4 linked regions of the Schizosaccharomyces pombe genome follow. Changing the gene in region 4 together with the main gene of any one other region gives a genetic interaction. Each region holds a gene or a part of one and is shown on either strand. Other genes may lie near its edges.

Evidence for each region.
Region 1: mutations in sts5 (region 4) and ppb1 are lethal when combined (synthetic lethality), as found in Schizosaccharomyces pombe (2 studies listed by BioGRID).
Region 2: of sts5 (region 4) and pyp1, extra expression of one rescues a mutant of the other (dosage rescue), as found in Schizosaccharomyces pombe (2 studies listed by BioGRID).
Region 3: of sts5 (region 4) and ssp1, a mutation in one rescues a mutant of the other (synthetic rescue), as found in Schizosaccharomyces pombe (2 studies listed by BioGRID, with this or other methods).

What each region holds. Positions count from the first base shown.
Region 1 is NC_003423.3:2,872,173-2,876,620, reverse strand, and holds ppb1 (calcium-dependent serine/threonine protein phosphatase calcineurin catalytic subunit Ppb1), read right to left. Parts: upstream 2,700-4,448; 5' UTR 2,625-2,699; coding exon 2,486-2,624; exon of another isoform or gene 2,442-2,485; coding exon 2,235-2,441; exon of another isoform or gene 2,081-2,234; coding exon 762-2,080; 3' UTR 512-761; downstream 1-511. Other genes in the region: S-adenosylmethionine decarboxylase proenzyme Spe2, read left to right, coding at 1-388; oxa102 (translocase Oxa101), read right to left, coding at 3,494-4,448. UniProt on the Schizosaccharomyces pombe protein: Calcium-dependent, calmodulin-stimulated protein phosphatase. This subunit may have a role in the calmodulin activation of calcineurin. Appears to be involved in cytokinesis, mating, transport, nuclear and spindle pole body positioning, and cell shape.
Region 2 is NC_003424.3:5,159,661-5,163,885, reverse strand, and holds pyp1 (protein tyrosine phosphatase Pyp1), read right to left. Parts: upstream 2,375-4,225; coding exon 722-2,374; 3' UTR 526-721; downstream 1-525. Other genes in the region: GTPase-activating protein Gyp51, read left to right, coding at 1-145. UniProt on the Schizosaccharomyces pombe protein: Plays a role in inhibiting the onset of mitosis. Dephosphorylates sty1/spc1 and wis1/spc2/sty2.
Region 3 is NC_003421.2:1,876,735-1,882,858, reverse strand, and holds ssp1 (calcium/calmodulin-dependent (CaMKK) protein kinase Ssp1), read right to left. Parts: upstream 4,413-6,124; 5' UTR 4,146-4,412; coding exon 2,187-4,145; 3' UTR 1,544-2,186; coding exon of another isoform or gene 1,133-1,543; 3' UTR 820-1,132; coding exon of another isoform or gene 787-819; 3' UTR 549-786; downstream 1-548. Other genes in the region: SPOM_SPCC297.05 (diacylglycerol-binding protein), read right to left, coding at 1-91; histone lysine methyltransferase Set7, read left to right, coding at 787-819, 1,133-1,543; aro2 (chorismate synthase), read right to left, coding at 5,373-6,124. UniProt on the Schizosaccharomyces pombe protein: Involved in actin localization and thus in polarized cell growth.
Region 4 is NC_003421.2:677,822-684,618, reverse strand, and holds sts5 (Dis3L2-like 3'-5'-exoribonuclease), read right to left. Parts: upstream 4,785-6,797; 5' UTR 4,258-4,784; coding exon 1,057-4,257; 3' UTR 536-1,056; downstream 1-535. UniProt on the Schizosaccharomyces pombe protein: Required for the maintenance of cell shape during interphase. Required for localization of cortical actin to the growing tips before mitosis.

The sequences.
Region 1 (4,448 bases), on a different chromosome or scaffold from region 4:
TGTTAGAGACTTATGTAGTACCTCTGATAAAAAAGCAGTGCTTGATGCTTTTCAATTTGAGCCAATTGGGTTCTCGTCGAATATGATTTACAAGGACCGCTATGCCACAATCCATGTTACGCCTCAAGAACATTGTTCTTATGCTTCATTTGAAACAAATGTTTCGCAATTCCAATTCGGAAGATCCATATCTGAAACAATCGAAAAAACTGTTAAAACTTTTGGTGCAAACAAATTTTGTCTTACCCTTTTCCAGGCTAAAGGTGCGTCTCAAGAGAAGCATTTCTCGGCCAAACTTAAATCTTTTAGCTCTTATAAGCGTGAAGAATTTATAGTGTATGACTTTCCTGGATATGATCTTATATTTGCCAGCTTTACTGCAGTATAAGTTCGGAGAACAGTCAGCTAGATATTTTAAATTATCTGTTGCTATATTTATTATCATTCTTTTTTACGGTGGAGCGTGCCATGCGAATACCCCTTTTTACAATCTTTCATTATGCAAAAAGTAGTCGTCTTTTGTTTGCTTGTTTTATAAAAGGTTTCATAGTTATGAATACCAAAAAGTTTATTATGAATATCTAAATGCAATGCTTATGTATCTAGTCATCGGTTATCTTGTATTATGCTAAAGTAAACTCATTTGCTTTCTTTATTTTGAGTGTTTAGATATTTGTTGTAAGTATGCTTAAAACCTCGGATCAGGTTTATGCTCATTGAAAAATTCCAACTAAAAAACGAATATGCGCAGGTTTTGGTATCTACAAAGAGCTTTTCTTATCTGCAAAGCGTTCTACCAAATGATCGATAGAGGTATCATCTTCAGACGAATTCATTACTTCTTCGAAAGCCTTTAAATCCGTAGAACGTCGACGGCTATTAGATGGCGGTAAACGTTCATTTTGGATATCCAGCTTACGAGCATCATCGAAGGAATTGATAGCATTTTTGATACCCTCAGCTCCCAACATTAAAGTACCCGCAGGTAATCTTTGCGTACCTGACACGTTTTTCAGTTCCGAAACACTTTCCCGTTCTTCTCTAAGCACACTGAATACTCGAGAGATACGGCCAATAGCCATAATCTTGTTTTTAATAATTTGCCTACGAGCTTCAATATCAATTTCTTGGTCGGCTTTATTTTCATTCTCAGATGGAGCAGGCTGTTTATGCTGAGTCGGAGCCGATTCTTTCAAATCCGTTTCATAAAGCTCCTCCTTAGAACATATATTGAGCATTGAAATCAACATTTCAGAAACTTTTTCGCCCACAAATGGAAGACTCCAAGTAAAAACATCCATAAAGTTAGGAAGCCAGTAAGGATGAGGGGAACAATTAAATTGTCTTATATTCATTACATTATTTTCGTATTTCAAAACAGCAGCTTTATTATTGTAAACATCCAAATAGTTGGGTGCTGAAAATATGGTCATCAAAGATGGAAACCCGGTTGTTTTAGTTTTGCGATACATTCGATAGCCCACATCTTGAGCTTCATGAGCACGAATAACGGAGAGGAGATTATTGTTTTCTAAGAAGGTGCAAACAGCTTGGTAACTATAAAAGTAAGAACAGCCACGAACATTATTATGAATAAAATGCTTGTTTGATTTTTCCGATCCAAAATCTTCAAGGGGATCAGACCAGAGTAAATCACACATCAACCCATGAGTTGGAGGCTCACAAAAACGATTGATCATTCGTATATCATTCAAAGTATGTAGTTCGGGTGATAATCCACCATGTACACATAAAAATTGCTTATTCATAATAGCTGCCAAAGGAAGGGCATTAAAAGATTGTAAACAAGCTTCATAAACTTTAATATTATACTTATGAGTACATTCTAACTTGAAGGTAAAATAGTCAGTAAGATGAGCGCATTCGTGATTGCCACGAAGCAACCAAAGCGTTTTCGGATACCATATTTTCAAAGCCCACAAGTACAATAAACACTCAATTGAGAAATATCCTCGATCCACGTAATCTCCAAGGAAAAGATATTGGGTATTTGCTGGATTACCTCCAACTTCAAATAGTTTCATAAGATCATAATATTGGCCGTGAATGTCACCGCATACTAAGCTGTCAGACCGAAGAATATTGCAATACAAACAAAATATCGACCCAAATTAAAATGAAGGAAAAACATAGTCATAAATTACATTTCAAAGTTCTAATATTTTACCTTATAGTAATTAGGGCCTAAATATGAAAGGTGATAATCAACATACCAGTGACAGGTGCATCCACCTCAATCAAGTTGTCTTCTGACTTCAAAATTTCTGTAGCCTTTTTTATAATATACAACGTTTGTTCCTCAGATAAACGGCCTTCCCGAATGAAATGATTGCGAAGAAAATGCAAGTCAGGTTTATCAGGTTCATTAATATCAAAAAACTCCACGTCCGTCGGAATATAAGTTGCTGGTGCTTGAACATCTTTGATTGTTAATAAGACTAATTTCTTTCAAAAATATCCGTACTTTTCACTACTCTATCCAGTGTGCTAACACTAGAGCCATCTTCTTGAACAAATATTGTAAAATCATGAGAAGGAGCTTGATTTTTTTGGCGAATTGCTCGAACTATTGGGTCTTCTAAATTATGAGGACCCGAAGTCATATTAGTAACTTTTGCAAGCCTATATACAGCCTGGGTAAAATGCTAGATATTCTTGCAAAAAGTTTTGGTAGATTCTGGTTTGTTATACTTACATCGTCCCGGCGGTTTTGGAAAATGGTTTAACGAAAAGCAAAGAAATTCGTAATTGCTTTTCTCAATGAACCATGTGAACAAAAAACATATCTGTTTACAATTCTAAGTACTTTTTTTTTTTTTTATAATATAGATATATTTCATCATAATCTTTACTTCTGTATATTTAAAAATTTACAAACAATCGCCGCTTAGACAAACATATCTTAATAACCAATCGTGTTAGTAATAAGAAATGAACTTGTAGAAAGGGAACCCAAATACTACCTGAATTCCTTCCTAATTATATTGCCTTGCTCATTTTTGAGAGAAGCAAACTAAGTTGATTTGATGAAACTTACATTCCATGATTACCTAACTGAAATAACGATAGTTTTATTGATAAAATAAATATCCATAAAACACTTTAAGAGTTAATAATCATTTTATTTTTTGTTTAGACGGCTACGTCAAATTTTAGGTTATTGTAAATATTCTTTGATTTCTCATCGCTTTCCGTAGTAAAGAATTAGACAAAAGCGATTTTTAGAAAGAATAAGCAAAATAAATGTAAATTTGGGTATTTTATTAGAAGTAAAGGAAATAGAAAAGAGTGTTGCAAGTGTGAAGATATATGCAAAAACTAAAACATATGTAAAATTATGGGATAAAGCCAAAGGAAAGAAATGAATAATGCAACAAATGTAAAAAATTAACCATATCTTACAAACTTTTATGCTCTCAATAGGACATTGGAACACTTCTAAGAAAGAGAATTCCAAAGCACACAAAAAAGCTTAATCTTTCTTCTCGGTGGGTTTGGTAACAGAAGAGGACTTGTCATTTTGAGAATTATCAGATAGCGTAGTAGCTTTGGTAATTGTACTATTATTAGTAGGTTTTTGCTCATTGTTTGTATCGGTTTTAAGGAAACGTGTAGCATCTAGTATTTCAGAGGCTTGTGGGTATTTACCTTTTTCTTGAACCCCATGGACAATATCGGTAAATGACTTAACAAACGATTCATTTTGAGCGTTCGGTACTGGCATAGCAGATGGGACTTCTGGTAAGCCAAGTTTATGCCTTATGGTGGATGAACGCAAAAATGCCCCTTGAAATACACTGAAGACATTGCTAGGAAACCAATACATAAAAATTGCCATAGGAAAATTCATAGTGAATAGTGGACTGGCAAGGCAAAGAAATCTAAAAAATTTTTTCATTGAGGGAGACATAGCAACCTTATTACTTCCAGTTTCGCTACCAAGCTCTATATTGAGCAGCATAAGAAGGCCGTTTGCAACCGGAAATATGTGTAGAGGATCAGGCTGGGATAAATCATTAACCCACCAAAAACCACCATCAGTGAAACCCTCTACAGGTACACCCGCCATTGTCTTCAACGCGTAAAAAAAGCTAATAAACAGAATTCCCTGAAATACAGGAGCAGAAAGCAAATTCAAAGGGTTAACATTGTTAACTTTATAAAGGTTTTGGATTTGAGTGGTAGCTTGCATCATTAATTCGCTGTTTCCTTCAGCCTTTGCTTTACTCAACACACTCATGTGTTCAGCAACCTTTGGGTTAATGATAGCGAGCTTTGCGGACGTTTTCATCATCTTTAACATAATAGGAAATACTGCAATTCTCATAGCAACAGCACATGCAGCAATTGAAGCCCACCAAGGAAGGCCGCTCCAAATATGAAGCGTATTAAGGCCGTTTTGGAGGATATTATGAGGTAAGAAAGAA
Region 2 (4,225 bases), on a different chromosome or scaffold from region 4:
TGAAAGTCAGTCTCTCGAAGATGAAATCTTTAGAAAAGAAAAGCAGCTTGCTGAAACTAAAGTTAACTTGGCCGTTTTAGACGAGGACCATATGATGGCTTTACAAAAATGGAGTCAGCTTATGAACCGCATAAAGACAAAGTGAATATAAAAGCATTCTAGGTACTATTGGAATATCTGCATCCTAATGATTGCCATAATAATTTATTTATATTGAGTTACGTTTAATGTGTATTATAAAAAATCTTTGTTCCTGCAAGTTTGTCTTACTTAAAAACATACAAACGATAGTTCAAATGAATGTATATTTAATGAATCGTCTCACCTTTAATCAGTGAAGAAAGAATTCTATTGCTCTTGATCACGACCACTTCGCTTAAACTCTATATTTCTGCCTAAAGAAATCGAGTAATAAATTTTAAAAAGCATCTGAAAATAATACAAGGTTATTATCAGTTTGATGACTTTATCTTGTACAAAAAATAGGTTTACAAAGTTCTAAAAAGAAAATTTAAGAGAAAAAAAGATATCATTAAAAAGCCTAGTTCTCAAATATACTTTTTGAAATAAAAGACAACGTGATTAAAGCAACTGAATTTCACAAACATTGACAGTAAATTCAAATGCAAATGTAAAAAAAAAGACACTTTACAAGTACAAGAAATAAAGGAATCGATTAAAACACGAATATATATTGCCAAGAAAAATCCAGTCAAAAATTTCATGTTAAAACCGGGAAATGAACTTGAGATTTTTGCAAAGAATCGATCAAGTCATACACATATTTAAATTGTGTGAAGGTTTGAACCATCTTCATCCGCTGCTTTCGGATATGATCAACCAACTGGAAAACGACGTCTGAAGAATCGGCGACAGAAGGATTGAAACCAGAAAGTTTGCTTTCTGGGAAGCGTAGGATCGTATCTAGTACAATAAAGGTTCCTGTCCGACCAACACCGGCAGAGCAGTGCACAATAGTATTTCCTGATCCGTGAGAGTTGTTCACATATTTTAAGAACTCAACCATAGATTTCACGTTTTCAGGAGAATTACAATCAGACCAATTAGGATATTGATAGTGATGTACTTTTTTAACTGAAGGAAAATTGGCATTCTGAATTTCAAACTTTCGCAAAATGAATCGAGAATTATCGACATTTTCCTCCGAAATTTGTTTGACACAGTAATCTCCATACACTTGTTTATCTCCAATACCATTACTTGGCCAATATGCAGTACACATTTCGCGGCCAGCCTCGAACAATGAACCAAGCATAACAATAGTGCCTATATTCTCCACATTGTCCCATACCATGTGCCAGAAATCGCTAATAGAACGAGAAATAGAACCTTGGCAAGCGATGTAATTTGAAGTTTCAGTTTTGATAAAGGAAGCATTGATATAATCGAGCTCTGAAGGGCTAGTTCTTTTCAAATGCACACGAGTACAATTGTAAGGAACAATGTCGGTATATCTGTTTTTCTTATACGATGTATTACTCAATGAATCAACGGTACTCCACTGAGAATTACGATCCGAACAAGAAACTAGACGTTGATGCTCCAATGATTGCAGGCGCAAGAACTTCTGGTAGAGGGTCGCAACATCTGGATTGGTAAAAGCATCGGGCACACTGTGTAAGCAGGGTGTCTGGACTGTAGCACTGCCAAATGGAGAAGATTTGTTGTCCTTGTTCTCAGGTAGAGGACAGAAAAAGTTATTTAAAGACAAACCGGCAACATTAGGAGTGGGAGGAGGACGAGAGAAGTAATCGGAGCCTTCGCTGGACAAAGAGATAGGAGCAGTTTGAGCAGCAGAGTAAGACAATCTGGGGCGAGCGCTAGGCAAAGCACCTAATTTACTTTTTACAGGAGAGTTGTCAATCACAGATGGATACTTGCCCGAGACTTTCGAATAGTCTAAATCTAAAATACCGAAGTCACCAGAATAGGATTCTTTTCTAAATTTTTCACCAATTACCTCAGCGTTCGTTACGTAGTTAGCAATCCAAGCAGGAACACAAACAAGAATGGATGAAAACTCTTGCCAGTTTTGAAAATCTCTCTTGTCGTCGACGTCGTGAAGATTGCTGATGATACGCGCGACCGAAAAGGCAGGACGCTTAATTAAGGTTGCAGGTAAAGAAAGATTGACGGAGCCCTTAATTCTAGATTTGGAAAACTCGGATACGGGACGAAGGTCGATGATCAATGTGTCATCCTTCCAAGCTTCCTTGTCGAGATATTCTTGGAGGCAAGAAGCATGAACAGCATACTTACTCGTTGCTACACCCCGCTGAGGAGGTAAAGCAATACATGAACCCGAAGGAGCAATTGTAAAAGTAGACGATTTTGAACCGTTTGAAAAATTCATCGTGGTTTTTTAGATGAATGTTTTGTATTAAGAATATTTGGCCTTAAAAAAGAAGCAGAGATGATTAAAAAAAAAAGTAAAAAAGTAAAAAAAAATTCAGACTTCTTAAATAAAATACAAATATTGGATAGCACAAGTTTTGAAGGCCGAAAGCAAAATAATGAATGGATAGGAAATATCAAAATTACGGAAAATCCAGGGTTCTAAAAAGGAAAGAATTAACGCAAAATTTGGCAATAAAATTAGTAAAATATAGAAGGAAACAAGAGAAGATTCAAATCAAGTCTGAGATGAAAAAAGTTTTTCAATTCAAACTTTCTGCAGAAAATAAAGATGGAAGAGTTTTAGAGGGGATGAGGAGTATCCAATTCAAAGAATGGGTTTGAATCAGTACTATGCAAATATGAGAATAAAAAGGGGGAATCCTTAAAAATTAACGGATTAATGAATCGTCACTTCAAAGGTCAAGCGATTTTAAGAGGAAAATAAAAATACTGCTTGTGAGTGCACAGTGCAAGATTGCAAAAAGCAACACTATTTAAGAAATTATTTCGTATTTAGTAGAAAATGCAAAAAGGTAGGGCACACGCACGAAAACAGTAACCAGACTGAACAAAAATATAAGATAGAGGGTATAAGAAATATTATAAGTTGCAGTTTGTCAAAGTGCAGAAAAGTATACAAGTAGGAGATCGAGGAACGAAAAGAGGTAGAGGCTAATTGAAATGTAATGACAATGGAATAATTTTCCTACAAAACAGAAAACCCAATTTAAAAGTCAGAAGCGTATTCAAAGCTAAAGGGGGGAACCAAAAGCACGTTGATGCAACAAACTAGCAAAAACGTAAGGTCAACTAAGGATGAAAATTACAGAGCACACGTCTGTAAATAAACCAAATGAATGGTGAATACTTAGACAGATGAGTTCAGAAAAAAAGAAACAGAACTATTCAGAATGCAGAACCCCACAAAAAAAACAATAGACAAGTAACCACCAAGACCCCAAAGTGAAGTGAAAACAAACGGTAAAGCAATGAAGAAAATGGGAAAAAAATTCAAAACTTAATCCGAAAAACTCAAGGGAAAGGAATATATGAGCTCTTCAAAGGTTCAAAAAAAGCGATACTACACTGTGGAAAGAAACCCAAGAGTACACCTTTTTGAGAAAAGACAAAGAAAATGATGAAACGAGAAATAGGATAACTAGAAAAGGAGAATTCCGAAAATATGAAAATATCAACGAAAAGGAAACAAGAAAAAAAAAGAGGGAGGTATAAAAAAAATGTAAAAGGAGAAAAATCTAACCCAATTGAGAGAAAGAAGTGGTGAAACAAAAGTTGAGAAAAGTTGAAGAAATTAACTATTTTGCATCGTACGGGATAAAAAAATGAAGCAAATAGAAAAAGCACGGCGATTCAACGATATATCTGGTGCTCTTTTATGGAAGGAAAAAAGACTAGTTCTTCCTATTTATTCACTTTGAGTTAAAGTTTAGAAAAGAAAAGATGGGCGCAGGTAATGAAACAAACGACTTTTAAAAGCTACGTATAGCGGTGGAGAGACAACAGAGAGAACTGTTGACGAGATGAAGGATGGAGGAAAAAATCTAAGAAAGAGAATTAAACGCACTAAACGTCAACGAAATCAAGTCTAACGATTTTTGATTTTTACCAAACGATCAGAGCAAGGACTGAGCGACGAACCAAGGTAAAATTTTTCATACGATCCAACAAAACGACGATGAAAATAAGATCCAATCTTATACTTTACCCAACGTTTAAACAGGAAACCCAAAAGATAAAAAGGATTGGGAGCAAGTAAAGGGTTAAGAGGAGGAAGGGAGAGGACGAG
Region 3 (6,124 bases), 1.2 Mb from region 4:
CAAGTCTATCTGCTCGAAATTGAGAATTGGATACACTCACAAATCCGTTAGAGAGACCTGCGAGAAAGAAATGATCTGCGATACTTTCCATTCCACTCGCAACTTAAAGCATCGTAAATGATCGCAATCGCATATGCAATAATTAAGGAAAAGATAACTTGTTTTGTAGCTTATATTATATTTTTGAAGAATAAACTTACTAAATATGCCACAAATCGATTCCACATAAATCGTGCGAAACTTTTTTCGTAAGGAATTGGGCACTTCAACGCTAACAGTATAACTATTCCTACGCACTTTCCAACCTGTTCAAATGCCAATTTAACTACAGATCGCCAATACCTCAAAAAGCATCCTCCATACACTAAATGGAAAACGGTAACTTGCGACTGTTTATGCAGCAAAATGTTCGATAGAAAAACATAGCGCACTATAACCTTTTATCTACTAAAGTGAATATAGCAACGTACCATGACCCGAAGTATCACCACAATAGGTTTAAGGAGTCTTATAGCTGCCTTATTTGGGAAAAATAAATTTTTTCCTATTAACTTACTAACTATTTTTGCCATTCGTATATGTGAAATAAGTTCCTTGTTTGGTTTATTTCTATTAGAAATTACTAATTTAATATATGAAAAAAGAAAGACATCAAACGTGAGCCCAAAGAAATCAACTCCCTGGCTCATCTATAAAGACACGAAACATCTAAAATTAAGTAATTCACAAAAGGTGTAAGAAGTGAAGCACACCGATCATTAAGACAGTTGTCAAATTGATTTTGTAATGCGGATTCCTGTTATTCGTAGTCCGCTTGAGGTAAGGTATTGTAGGATAGCTAGAAGATAGAAGAAAGTTAAAAGTCACTTTAAATTAACTTTTTTGTGTTTCGATTCATTTATATTTATTTGTGTGAATTTTGCTATGAGTTGAGTCAGACAGTAGAAAAAGCAAATGTCGAAGATTGTTGTTGTTGTATAATCGAAAGGGTAATGTTACGGATCAACGATTCACAGCATGATTCATAATCATTTATATAAAAGAAAACATTTCACATTCTTTTCTTTTCTTTAGTAAAATCAGTCGACAGACTGAACGATTGTGTCTAATTATAAGTTTACTAACGCTTTAGATTCGTGATACAGAACGAAAAGGCCGAGGAGTATTTGCTCTTGAGCCTATTCCAGCACAAACATGCATTGAGATTAGTCCTGTATTGATGTTCAGCAAAGAAGAATATGAACAACATGGACAGTATACAGTTCTTAACGAATACACATATGTTTGGAGCGAAGGCAAACAAGGATTAGCTCTAGGACTTGGAAGTATGTTCAATCACGACCGTCATCCAAACGTGTATTGGAAAAAAGACAATCGCAATAACTACATCTCATATTACACATTACGAGAGATAAAAACAAATGAGGAACTCTGTATTTCATACGGAGATCATCTGTGGTTCGAAGACGAAGCATCATCTGCTTCACGAATAAGTCCAAACGAGGAAAATGAAGATTTTCCCTTACAAAATATTAGTTTATAAAAATTCTTCATACGTCCAATTTGTAGGCTTTAGAAGATAAAATTTCTCAAATGGTAGCAATATTGCTGTCTGTCTTCTAAATCACACCATACAAAAGTTGCCCCACTTCACCTATATTCAATAGATTTGTATCACAACAGCACATAGAAGAAATTACAAACTAGGTCATAAAAAAATAATAAAATGATATTTATTTCCTATGCCAGGAATAAGAAGAATTCATCAAAAAAACCAGTTTCAACGTCTAATCAGTAAATTTTTTTTGCTCATAGGAAAAAAAATCACGATATACGAGGTAAACAAAAGGCACATTAGATAATAAAACATTTTAAAATAAACGAGTAAAACGAGTGGAATGCGCAAGAATCATCAATAAAGTCACCTTTTTTCCAAAAGACTTGGAACCTAAGCGTCTTATTTAGAAAAAGGAAAAAAAAAGGCTTCTCTTGAGATGGGGCAAACATATAGGACAAATAAAAATCTAAAAGGTCCGAATGACATGATTTGATGAAAACGAATGACAAAGTGTTATTGAACACTAGGTAAAAAGCCAAGAATAAGAAATGAGTAATTAAAAGACACATGCAACCTACATTGCAAAAAAAAAACAATTGAATAAAATTGGGAAATGTTCATACAGCACTCAATTAGTTGGTGTGAAGGAATGCTCAATGCAGTAGATAGGTGTGTCAGAGCCCCCGGCTAAATGAAGGTTAGGTGATGATACAAAACCAGGAACCACTGGATGAAAATTGGACGGATTAGCATCATAATTCTCATAATTACGAAAAGTAACGACAGGCATTCCACTTTCCTCATGCTTCGCATTTGGAGATTCGAAAGAGGCTACATCATCCGTATCCATCGACGTGCGACTATACGTTTCGAAATGACCGTTAATGGATTTGGAGACTTGTGGAATAGAGTCGCCGGTATTATAGCTGCAAGCATCATCAGCATCTTGATTGTCATTGGGAAATGCCTCATAGTCCCAGCCAAAGTCACATCTAGGCTTTTTCTCAGAACTATTACGACCCATTTCGACAGGATGTACTTGCTTTCTTTCACGATCCTTCTGAGACTCATTCACCGCAAGCCGATTAAAAGAATCGGACAACTCGGACGCGGATAAACCAATTGAAGAATTACCAGAGCTCTCAGGCCGACAAATGGAAGAGTCGGAAGGAACAGAGGAGGAAGAATCAAACACTCGCGCTTTTGGACGGCGGAAACGAAACAGCTTACCAAGTTTTCTGCGAAGACGACCCACAAGGCTGATTGCAGAAGCAACTTCGTCTGTAGAAACCTCAACACGACTGACGGTACTGGGATCAGTGTTTTGCAACCATTTTTCAGGATCCTTCAAGCCATCCAATGTCCATGGGTGAAGTTTTACTTCTACAAGTGTTATACGTTGTTCAGGATCTTTGCATAATAATCTTTTAAGCAAATCTCGACCCTCTTCACCAATGTCGGGTGTAGAAGGGATGTTCAGACGCTCATTGACGATTTTGTCAAAAAGCTCATACTCCATGCTAGCATTAAATGGACAACGACCAAACAAAAGGCAAAACAAAGTAACGCCTAAAGCCCATACGTCTATTGCTTCAGAAATCTTAGGCCTTGGGCGATCCAAATCGGTCCAGCACAATTCAGGGGCGAAAAAAGCAGGAGTGCCGACAGTTTTTGCAAGCTCAACGTCGTTGTCTTCATTCAGGCCAGCGTTGGCAATGTACGAAACACCAAAATCAGATATTTTGACACAATTAGAAGAGTTAAGGAGAAGGTTGGCGGGTTTAATATCTCGATGAATAATGCCTTGGTAATGTAAATACTCTAGACCCAAGACAACATCGCGAAAGTATTGTCTTGCCTCGCTAATCGAGAGTACGGGGGAGTCACAATCTGTCCATGGCACTTCCCCACCACTCATGTACTCTAAAACAAGATACACCTTCGTTGAGGATGGATCGTCAATGACCTCGCGCAAGCGGACGACATTAGGATGGACACATTTCTTTAAGATGGCAATTTCGCGACGAACTTTTTCCTTTTGACTGGAAGCATTGGCTCGGCCCAGTTTCGGACGACGTTCCGTCTTCGGGATGATCTTGATCGCCAACAGTTCGCGGGTAACGGTATCACGGCCAAGCTTGACTTTACCGTGCATACCACGTCCTAGTTCTTTTATAATCTCATAGTGGTTAATGTATTTACGACCCGAAAACCGATCAAACCGCTTTCTTATCTTTTTTGTTTCCTTCACCTCGCCCCATTCTTGCAGGCGCTTCCACTGGCGCTGAGCCTCTTGAAAATTATCAGAATAAAGACGCTGGTTATGCTTACCAGGTTGAAAAGTCCATGAGTGAGTTAACGAACTTCCTTCACGTTCTCCGCCCAACGGGGCTATTACATAATCTCCCGCGCTGTAGTTCCGTTTACGAAATGAATCGGACGTTTTCTGGATGGCCTTGTGGACGGGATATTCAGGAAAGACAGAAGGAGGAACTTCGCTATCGTCTACCTCTGGATGCCAAGTATTTTTCCGTAAAAGACGTTGTGGCTCAATTAAAGTTTTTTCTTCATTATTCACTGATCCCATCAGGAAGTGTTCCTCGAGTCCTCTTAAATAGCTTCAATAGTCAATAAGTACATGAATTACCGGATTTACTAATCGAGCTTTTCCTCTATCGGGGACTAGGCAACTCGTATTTCGGCGGGGCTATAGTCGTAAAGCTACCAAGCTAAATGACTCTGAAATTTATTTCTTCTTTAAGACTTGTAGATTTTTAGTAGTCCTCAATCTCCAAAATTGATTAATATCTTGTTTAAAATCAAGCCTACGTTATACTGGTGGTTGGAAAAGGTTAGGTACATCTATACCGTAGCACGACACCTGGTGAGGGATGACGATGAGCACTTTTGGAATGATCATTTTTGCGAAGTACCTTTCACTATTCCGTATTACACTACTATACGTAATCCTCCTTTTCCAGATAGTAGACGGGATGGTTGCTATTTCATCATAGGTGGGACTAACGAGAAGTACGCCTGAGAAGAAGGCTTCATAATAGAATACTATTTTCTTACAGAGGTTTTTTGGTACGTAAAATGTGTGGAACATCAGAAATATTCTATAACAAATTTCGATTATTCAAAATATTACTTTAAAACAACTACCACTTTTTCTCACAAGTATGGAAACGTTGATAGTAAAACCCATAAATCCAAAGATTTTTTTTTTTACATAATAATAATCCTTTACTTCATCTACAAGCATAGACGATGTGCCGATAAACGGCATTAGCAAAAAAAATTTTTTGCAACATGACCAAACTGCCGGTATAATATATCATAATTGCATACACAGTGTGTAAGTATGAATACTTAGATGAGAGAAAAATCAATGGCAAGATTAAAAGAGAATGGCAAAAGCTATATTTGGTCACCAATTTAGATTGTGTACCGCAGGTGTCTGTGTAATAAACATGAAAAAAATCTGCATACAAACAAACATCAATTGCTAGTTGAAGAGAAGGTCTTATACTCTTTGCAACACTTCTTTAGTTTTTCTTGTGTATTAAATTTTTTACTTTTTTTAAAAATATTCATTTATAATCTTACACACTATATTGACAAGTATCTGTTAAATATGCCTTAATTTGTGTTAAATTTACCCTCCAAAAAAAATGTACATATGTAATCTAAGAGACAAAAGGTATATCTAATCCTCTCTTTTTGGCGCATCAAAATAAGATAATCCAGTAGGCTAACTCAATTGAAGTGAGATTCTTGCCCCCAAACTAGCTTATTTTTAACTTTTTTTAATTTATTGAGCATTGGGGAGTAGGTTTCGAGAGGCAATACGACTTTGTTGAATCATGACAGCATCCATAACGACAAGAGCAGCCATGGCTTCAACGATGGGAATGGCACGGGGAACAACACAGGGATCATGACGACCCTTGGCAGCAAGAACACCGTCACTACCATCGTAACGGCTAGTTGACTGTTCTACGCCGATGGTAGCAGGAGACTTAAAGCCAATGGTGAAGTAAACGTTTTCGCCATTGGAAATACCACCTTGGACACCTCCACTGTTATTGGTCAAGGTACCAAGCTTGCCAGTATCAGCATTTCGGTAAAAAAGATCGTTATGCTTGGATCCAGCAACTTTGCAGCCTTCACGGCCTGAGCCAATTTCAAAAGACTTGGTGGCAGGAATACTCATCATGGCATGAGCAAGCTTGGCCTCAAGTTTGTCAAAACATGGTTCACCAAGACCGGTGGGAACATTACGGATCACACAGGTTACAGTACCACCGATGGAATCGTGGTTATCACGAGCTCGAGTAATACGTTCAGCCATCTTGGCGGCCGTCGCAGCATGAGGACAACGAACAGTGGTTTTATCGACTTCCTCTCTCGTAATTTTATTGAGGAATTTCAGATATTCAGCGGTTATAGGAGATTCAAATGTATCATCCTCTGGGTCCAATATGGCGGAAGAAGCGGTTTCGTGCAATGGAATGGCTATTTTGCCTACACTGGAAACAAAGGCAACGATTTCGACACCATAAG
Region 4 (6,797 bases):
GAACCTTACATTGTTGTTTAACTTGAAACATAAATATTTTTAACTTTTTTTCTATTTTTAAAGAGTATTTCATTTAGTTCTCATAATTTCTAAGACTTTGTGGATTAATAATTTTTTATAATCAGTATAGCATGCGTATACATCAAAATATACTCGATATCGAGTTAATACACTTGGTAAACAAAAGCCGATATAACAAGGCAGCGTTAAAAATGAAAAATAGTAATCACTAAGAATATTTGTAGAATCCTTTTCTTTTTAATATCTTATGCCGTTTTCATATCATAAAATAGGACATGAGTAACTAACACATCCCGGATACGTTTCATAACTATAAATTTGAATATTTTGTGTAAGAAATGAACTTAAATTGCAAAAAATCAACTGAAAATTGCTAAGATGTCGTCCAATAGTAGATTCATTTTAAAAAAAGAAACAAAAAATAAAAGACTCAGCTAACCCCAAACGACCGATAAGAATCCACTTCTGATTGCCTAATCGCCGCAGTGATTGCAAACGCAAACGACACTTCATCTACTGGTAAGCCAACAAAGTGACATGTATCAATATAAAAGCAGGATTTCATTTTTGAAACAAAATCCAATCTAATGTATAAAAAAGGAAAAGTTCAAGGTATCATCAACTCATGCACTCATAAAATCACGTATCGAGACTACTGGATTCCTTCATCCAACTCTATCATCGTGAACTATCGTAATCAAGTTTAATCATCCTTTTAGTTATATAACATAAAAAATCGGCATCTTAGTGTATAAGATTAAACCGAGTTTTCGAGCTCCTTGGCTATGCAAAACTTGTAAATCTCCAGAAACAAATATTAGACGTAAGTAACAGCTTCGTCGAAATTAAAGAGAAAAGTAAGAATGGGAAAAAATGCAGTTTTAGAATCGTAACATATTTTTTATCAACAATGCCTAATAATAAGAGCAATAATATGAATGAGAATATAAAGCCATTCCAGGCATCCGAAAATGAACATGTGTCACCAAAAAACACATACATGAAATAAACATTGCAAACAATCGAAGTTCAACATCAAAACTCGACATTTGAAACGTTGATAAGAGGTGGAGTCGAAAGCTGCACAAAGAGCTTAACTTTGACAGAGGTCAACAATTTAACAACTGTAACGGCTCCGCTCTCGTCGTATAAAGATAAAATGCCCTGGTCCTCTTCAAACCTTACGTGGGTTAGATTGAGCAAATCTAAATGAACACGTTTCTCCATGCCTAGAGATGGGAAAAATACGTCAAAATATGATGGAGCAACAAAACATACGAGACCGTCTTGCCAAACCTGACTCTCCGCCCAGTCACTAAATATTTTTATATGAATGCTAGTTTCTTGCGCAAATTTGCTTATAACCAGACGACGGCTTGCATCGTTTGCCGCTTGCGACCATACACGAAGGCGCTTTTCAGAAGCCAGTTCTCCTCTCAAAAGCAACTGCAGTTGATAATGAACTACAATATCACCATAACGTTCCAAAGGTGCTGTAAAATGTGTCAAATCGTCACTTTCGTCCTCAATACCAAGACTCATCATCTGGGAAGCGAGATTGCCTTTATACTTCTGCATTTCATAAACTGCTCTTGGGGTAACCTTATAATAATAAAGCTGCAAAATGTTACGAACAGTATCGTCTTCGATCAAACTTAAAGAGCGTAAAAGTGATTTTGTCGAAGACAAATCTAAAACACATCCCATCTGAATGGCCATACTTTGTAATATGCGACAGTTTTCTCGAGAGGGCAATCGCTGAGTCCTAAGGAATGCATTTTCACGGAATTCCTGACGCAAGTGGCTTGCAACGGCTCTATTAGCGGCATCCAAAAGAGTTTCACGTAAAACTTCAACCGCCGAGGAAATAAAAAGATTCGTTTCATTGGGATCAAAGCTGCAGCTTTCTTCATCCCATCGACGTACTAACCTACAATACCGGCTGAGTGGCACGTCTGTACCAAGATGATGAGTTCGTAAGCGACTGCTTACGGTATGGAATAAACGAAGTCTAGCATCAGTTTGAAGCAACTCATCAGCTTCCTTCATGGTATATGCCTTGCGAGGACGAATGACAGCCCATCCAATCCAAGTGCCACGAATTTTACCAGTTGAGGAAACATCCAGTAAGAGAGACATTGTATAACAATCCTTATCTTCTCGTAAAGATAAAGCCTCACCTAACGTAGTGGGAAACAAAGGAACCGACTTTTGGCAAAGATTCACCGCAATACTTCTTCGCTGTAATTCGCGATCTAATGGGGATCCTGGCTCAATAACACGAGAAACGTCAGTAACATGGATTCCTACATGATAACCAGTTGAAGTTGGTCGAATATGAAAGGCAGAAGAAACGAAATCAGTAGCAGAACTAGAATTGATGTTTGATTCATGTTGCTTGACTTCTGAAACGGCTGCTTTGCTAACGTCATTTTTAACAAATAAAAAGACATCTTCAGATCGATAATCTGCACAACCAGCAACGTTTAAAAAATTATCCGATAAAGCATTGAGTGCAGTTACGGCGGATGTAGCGGCGGATCCTTCCCATGGTTCACTATGAACACCCGTATCGTGTAATAAAGCGGATACTTGAGCAGACATAGAGTCCATAGATCCTAATTCACCAACCAACATACCAAAAGGATGTAGAGAAGTTACAGGCCAACGCTTTATAGAAGCTAAAAACAATCGTTGAGCATATGCTTGATCGTTACCCAAAAAGTCTGTGGGTGCTTGTTCAGTAGGAATTGCAATCAAAGGCACACGTTTATCAGATGGCTTAAACCATACGATTTTGGGCTTGTCATTTCCCGAGTTATTGGAAGAGCCTTGATTACCCGACGAGGTCTGCCTCTCCTTATTAGCGGCACTACTTGGCCGAAGTATGCCAAGCGTACCAGAAAATACCTGGCCTGGCGCCCTCTGCAAGACTGCTACGACATGACCAGCATACTTTGGCTTTTCGTCCGCACCAAGCTGCTTTTGGTCAAGAAGGAACAGGGTCTGCCCTTCCACTTGTTCATCATCTCTTGCTTTTATAGCAGACCTCTGAGGAACCTCAAACGGTACGGCGTCAATTCGAAGGTTGTCAAAAGAGCCTCTAGTAGAAATTGGGTCTTTACGCCTTCGATTCTCTTCCTTTTCAAGTTTACCAGCCCATACCTCGTCAACGTCTAACAGCTCTATGGCAACGACATCACCCTCAAGGGCACGATTGCGATCTTTCGAACCACATATGAATACTTCCGCATCCAAACCATCGACACTAACAAAAGCGTCTGATCTATTTTTCTTACTTACAATTAAAATACCCGTTACCAAACGACGCTCAGCGAGTAGAGCAGGAATCGATGACTGTGGTAAATAAGGAGAAAAAAGATTTTTACGGGGATTACCTGAACCTCCCGAAGAAAAACCAGAGCCAGAGGAGCCAACACTTAAGCTGCCAGTCGATCGACGATGACGATGACCACCGCCTTCAGGACGAAAGTTTGAGGTATTATGAGTTACAATAGTCCCAGGAAAAGATGGATTCGCGGCATGAGTAGGACTATTCGTTTGAGAAAGTGATGAAGGACGCCATTGAGCATCCAAATTACGAGGGCGCAATAATTGTGGTAAAGTGTTCAAGGCTGGTAAAGGAGATGCGTTGTTGACTGGAGGAACGAACGCATGGGGAGTAAACGGTACGGCGTTATGGGAATTGGGAGAGGAAACAGAAGCAACACTATGGCTTTTTGCATGCCGCCTTGGACTAATGTTCGTAGATGTAGCAACTGATGGATTTAAGCTAAACTTTGAAGGAACGGTCGGACTGTTAGGGAAGGAATCTGAAGAGGCAGAGACCGAAGTGGTGAAGAAATTAGTAGGGTATAAGGGTTGACCGCCTTGAGTCGGTGGTTGCATATTAGAAACGGCTGGAGAATTAGAAGGAATAGTGGCTTGGTTGGAAAAATTGCCCATACCAACGCCAGCACTAGCACTTCGACGATGGCCATGAACAAAGGACGATTCAACGGCGGGTAAAAGACCAGTGTGTCGAAGCTGATGCATGTGCTGCTGTAACGGTAGCCATGTGGGGCGATTAGCAGAGGGAGTGGTTTGTAACCAAGGAGTGGTGAGGGAAGGGTTTGCAGAAGGAACAAATGTAGGACTCGATTGCGCATCAGAAGGATCCTGTTGCTGATTAAGCATCACCTTGTAAGGAAAGTCATTTTCAAACTCCTCATCCATGACACGAAAAGGGTAGTGAGAAAAGAAGTATTAAAAGTTAAAGGAGCAGTGGGTTAACAAAAAATAAAGAATATAAAAAGAAACAATGAGATCGAACGAAAAAAGAAGTCGCTAGCAAAGAAAGACTGGCTAAGGCGAAACGAGGCACAAGATTCGTAATCCAAATTAAATACGTAGACCCCAACTGATAAAAACGGTTGCCTTTAAAGATATCAGGAAACGATCCAAAAGATAAGTAGAAGGAAACCCCAAAAAAAAAGAAGAAAGAAAGAAGTAAACGGGAAAACGAATGTTTACGGATAAAAAAAGCGTCTTATTAAGGAAGGTTGTGGTTCGAGAAGTGAACGAAAAACCAACAAAATTAAGAAAAGGAAAAAAAAGAAGACTGGTCCGTCAGAAGCGAAAGAGTTAGGCGGCAAATGAAAATCGCCGCGAAACAGTCAGCCCCAAAAGGAATTTTAATTCCTCAAATGTCAAAATCGCAAGGAATGAGGAAGTATGAAAGTGATCAGTGGTAGATCCTCGTTAATTAAGGAAAAAAAAAGGCCTGCTTATAAAAATCCCGATTCTACCGTAATGAATGATAAGAACGTAATTCTCACTTAACAAACAAAGTTAGTTGGTAATATCTAATACTTGAATTCCGAGGCGATCCGCAAGCTGGCAAACTGATATATACGGAGCGCTATTCGTTGTATCGGTAAAAAGAGGTAGGCTAAGAATGCACAGGGAGAGGGAGCTTAGCTAGCTAGAGTAGAACAGGCGAAAACCACCAGTTTCGCCAAGGAAGTGAGTTGCGAAAGAAATGAACAAAGAAAATGAGTGTCAAAATGGTAGACAAAAAATGGTTTGTTAGGTAAAGCGTAACTCCTAAATATCGTGAGGAATGGCCTCAGCAAGTGTGAAAAAGGAACAAACAAAGACAAAAGAGGGTATCAAAGAGAATATCGACTTGAACGATGAAATCTTAAGCTGAATAAATAGATTTATAAAATTTCGGTATAAAGCTAAGGCCGATTGAACAGTCAATTATCACAAGAAACGAAAGAATAGACCATTCGCGTTGAAAACGATGACTTGCGGACGATGGAAGTAAACTGACGTGTTCAGTATATAGGAAAAATTCATTAGCGTAGTGCGTTCGAAGACGTTATACAATCGATGATAAGAGTGTATGAAGAATTGATTAAACAAGAAGTTTGGAGGGAATGAGAAAGTAAGATGGAAAACGAAAAATTTGGCAAAACAAAATTAGTAGTGAATTACTGTTTATTAATAAAATTCGTTTTTGACAGGCAATTATGTGTTTCTCTTTGCTTTGAAAGTTGGTTTTTACCCACAAGAAGATTCTTACATCGGATATAAGAAGAAAGAAGTAGCGAAAGGTGGCGATCCAAGAACAGTAGCGCTCTTGAGCAAATTGGTTTGAACTACTGATTCTTTTGATTTTATAAATTATCGTTAATCGACCGGGCAAGCTTACTTCAACCATAAATCGTGGACAAAGTAACAACTGACATAAAAATGATGAGCATACGAAAATAGACGAAACGAGCAAAAGGCGAAAATAAGTAAACATGGAGCAACAAAGTAAATTTGGAAAGAATGAATTTCTTCAAACTACTCAATGAATAGCAATCGCCCTAGAAACATGAGTAATTGTTTGAATTAGTGGACGACTCAGACACGCATGGTAGGAAGACTGTTTACTCTATATAAGGATATTGGCAGCAACACATAAACCGCTACAACGATAGATACCGAAGACATTAAACTATTTTTACGTATATTTGTGCATTTTAATGAAGACATTAAAATTCGTTAACGACGTGCGCTGAATTTTTCGATTTGAAGAGGAAAGCATCAAAAGACTTAACAAAGTATTGAAAGAATGAAGCTCTTCAATAATATATTAGAGGCTATTTAAAAAATTTGAAGAACCTTGGTAATAAAAATCGGTGCAGCTTCATAATTATATCGTCGTCCCTACCGATGTCAATCATAATTAATTGCTTTCTTCGTAGGATAGAAATGTAAACTGTAGAACGTAAAACTTAAGAGGAAGGGAATTAGAAACATTTATTATATATATTCCTAACAACCCTTAAAGTGTACGAGTTTGTCAAAGAGCATGATGGGACTTTGACTTTTTTTACCTACCTATACTGCCCCAAAAGGACTCATGGCAGAAATAGGCTTCAAATAAAGTACAATAGTGATTACTAGCACAAATCCTTATTTTTTATTACTGGAATTTGCCGATTTATTATATGAAGATAGCGCGATTGTACGTTGATAAAGAAACGAATGGAATAAGGCACATCACACCAAAATCTTATGTGACAAAAATCTATCACAATACATCATTATACAAACACTACAGTAACGAAATTTTATATTATGAGTACCTGTGAATTTCTCTATTTTATTTATCGATACAACAGAGCAACTCGTTTTTCTTGTAAAAAGTAAATAAATTCAATTTAGTAAACGATTTACGAACTTCTTCTAAGTTACGACATATTGCATGGAAGAACGTG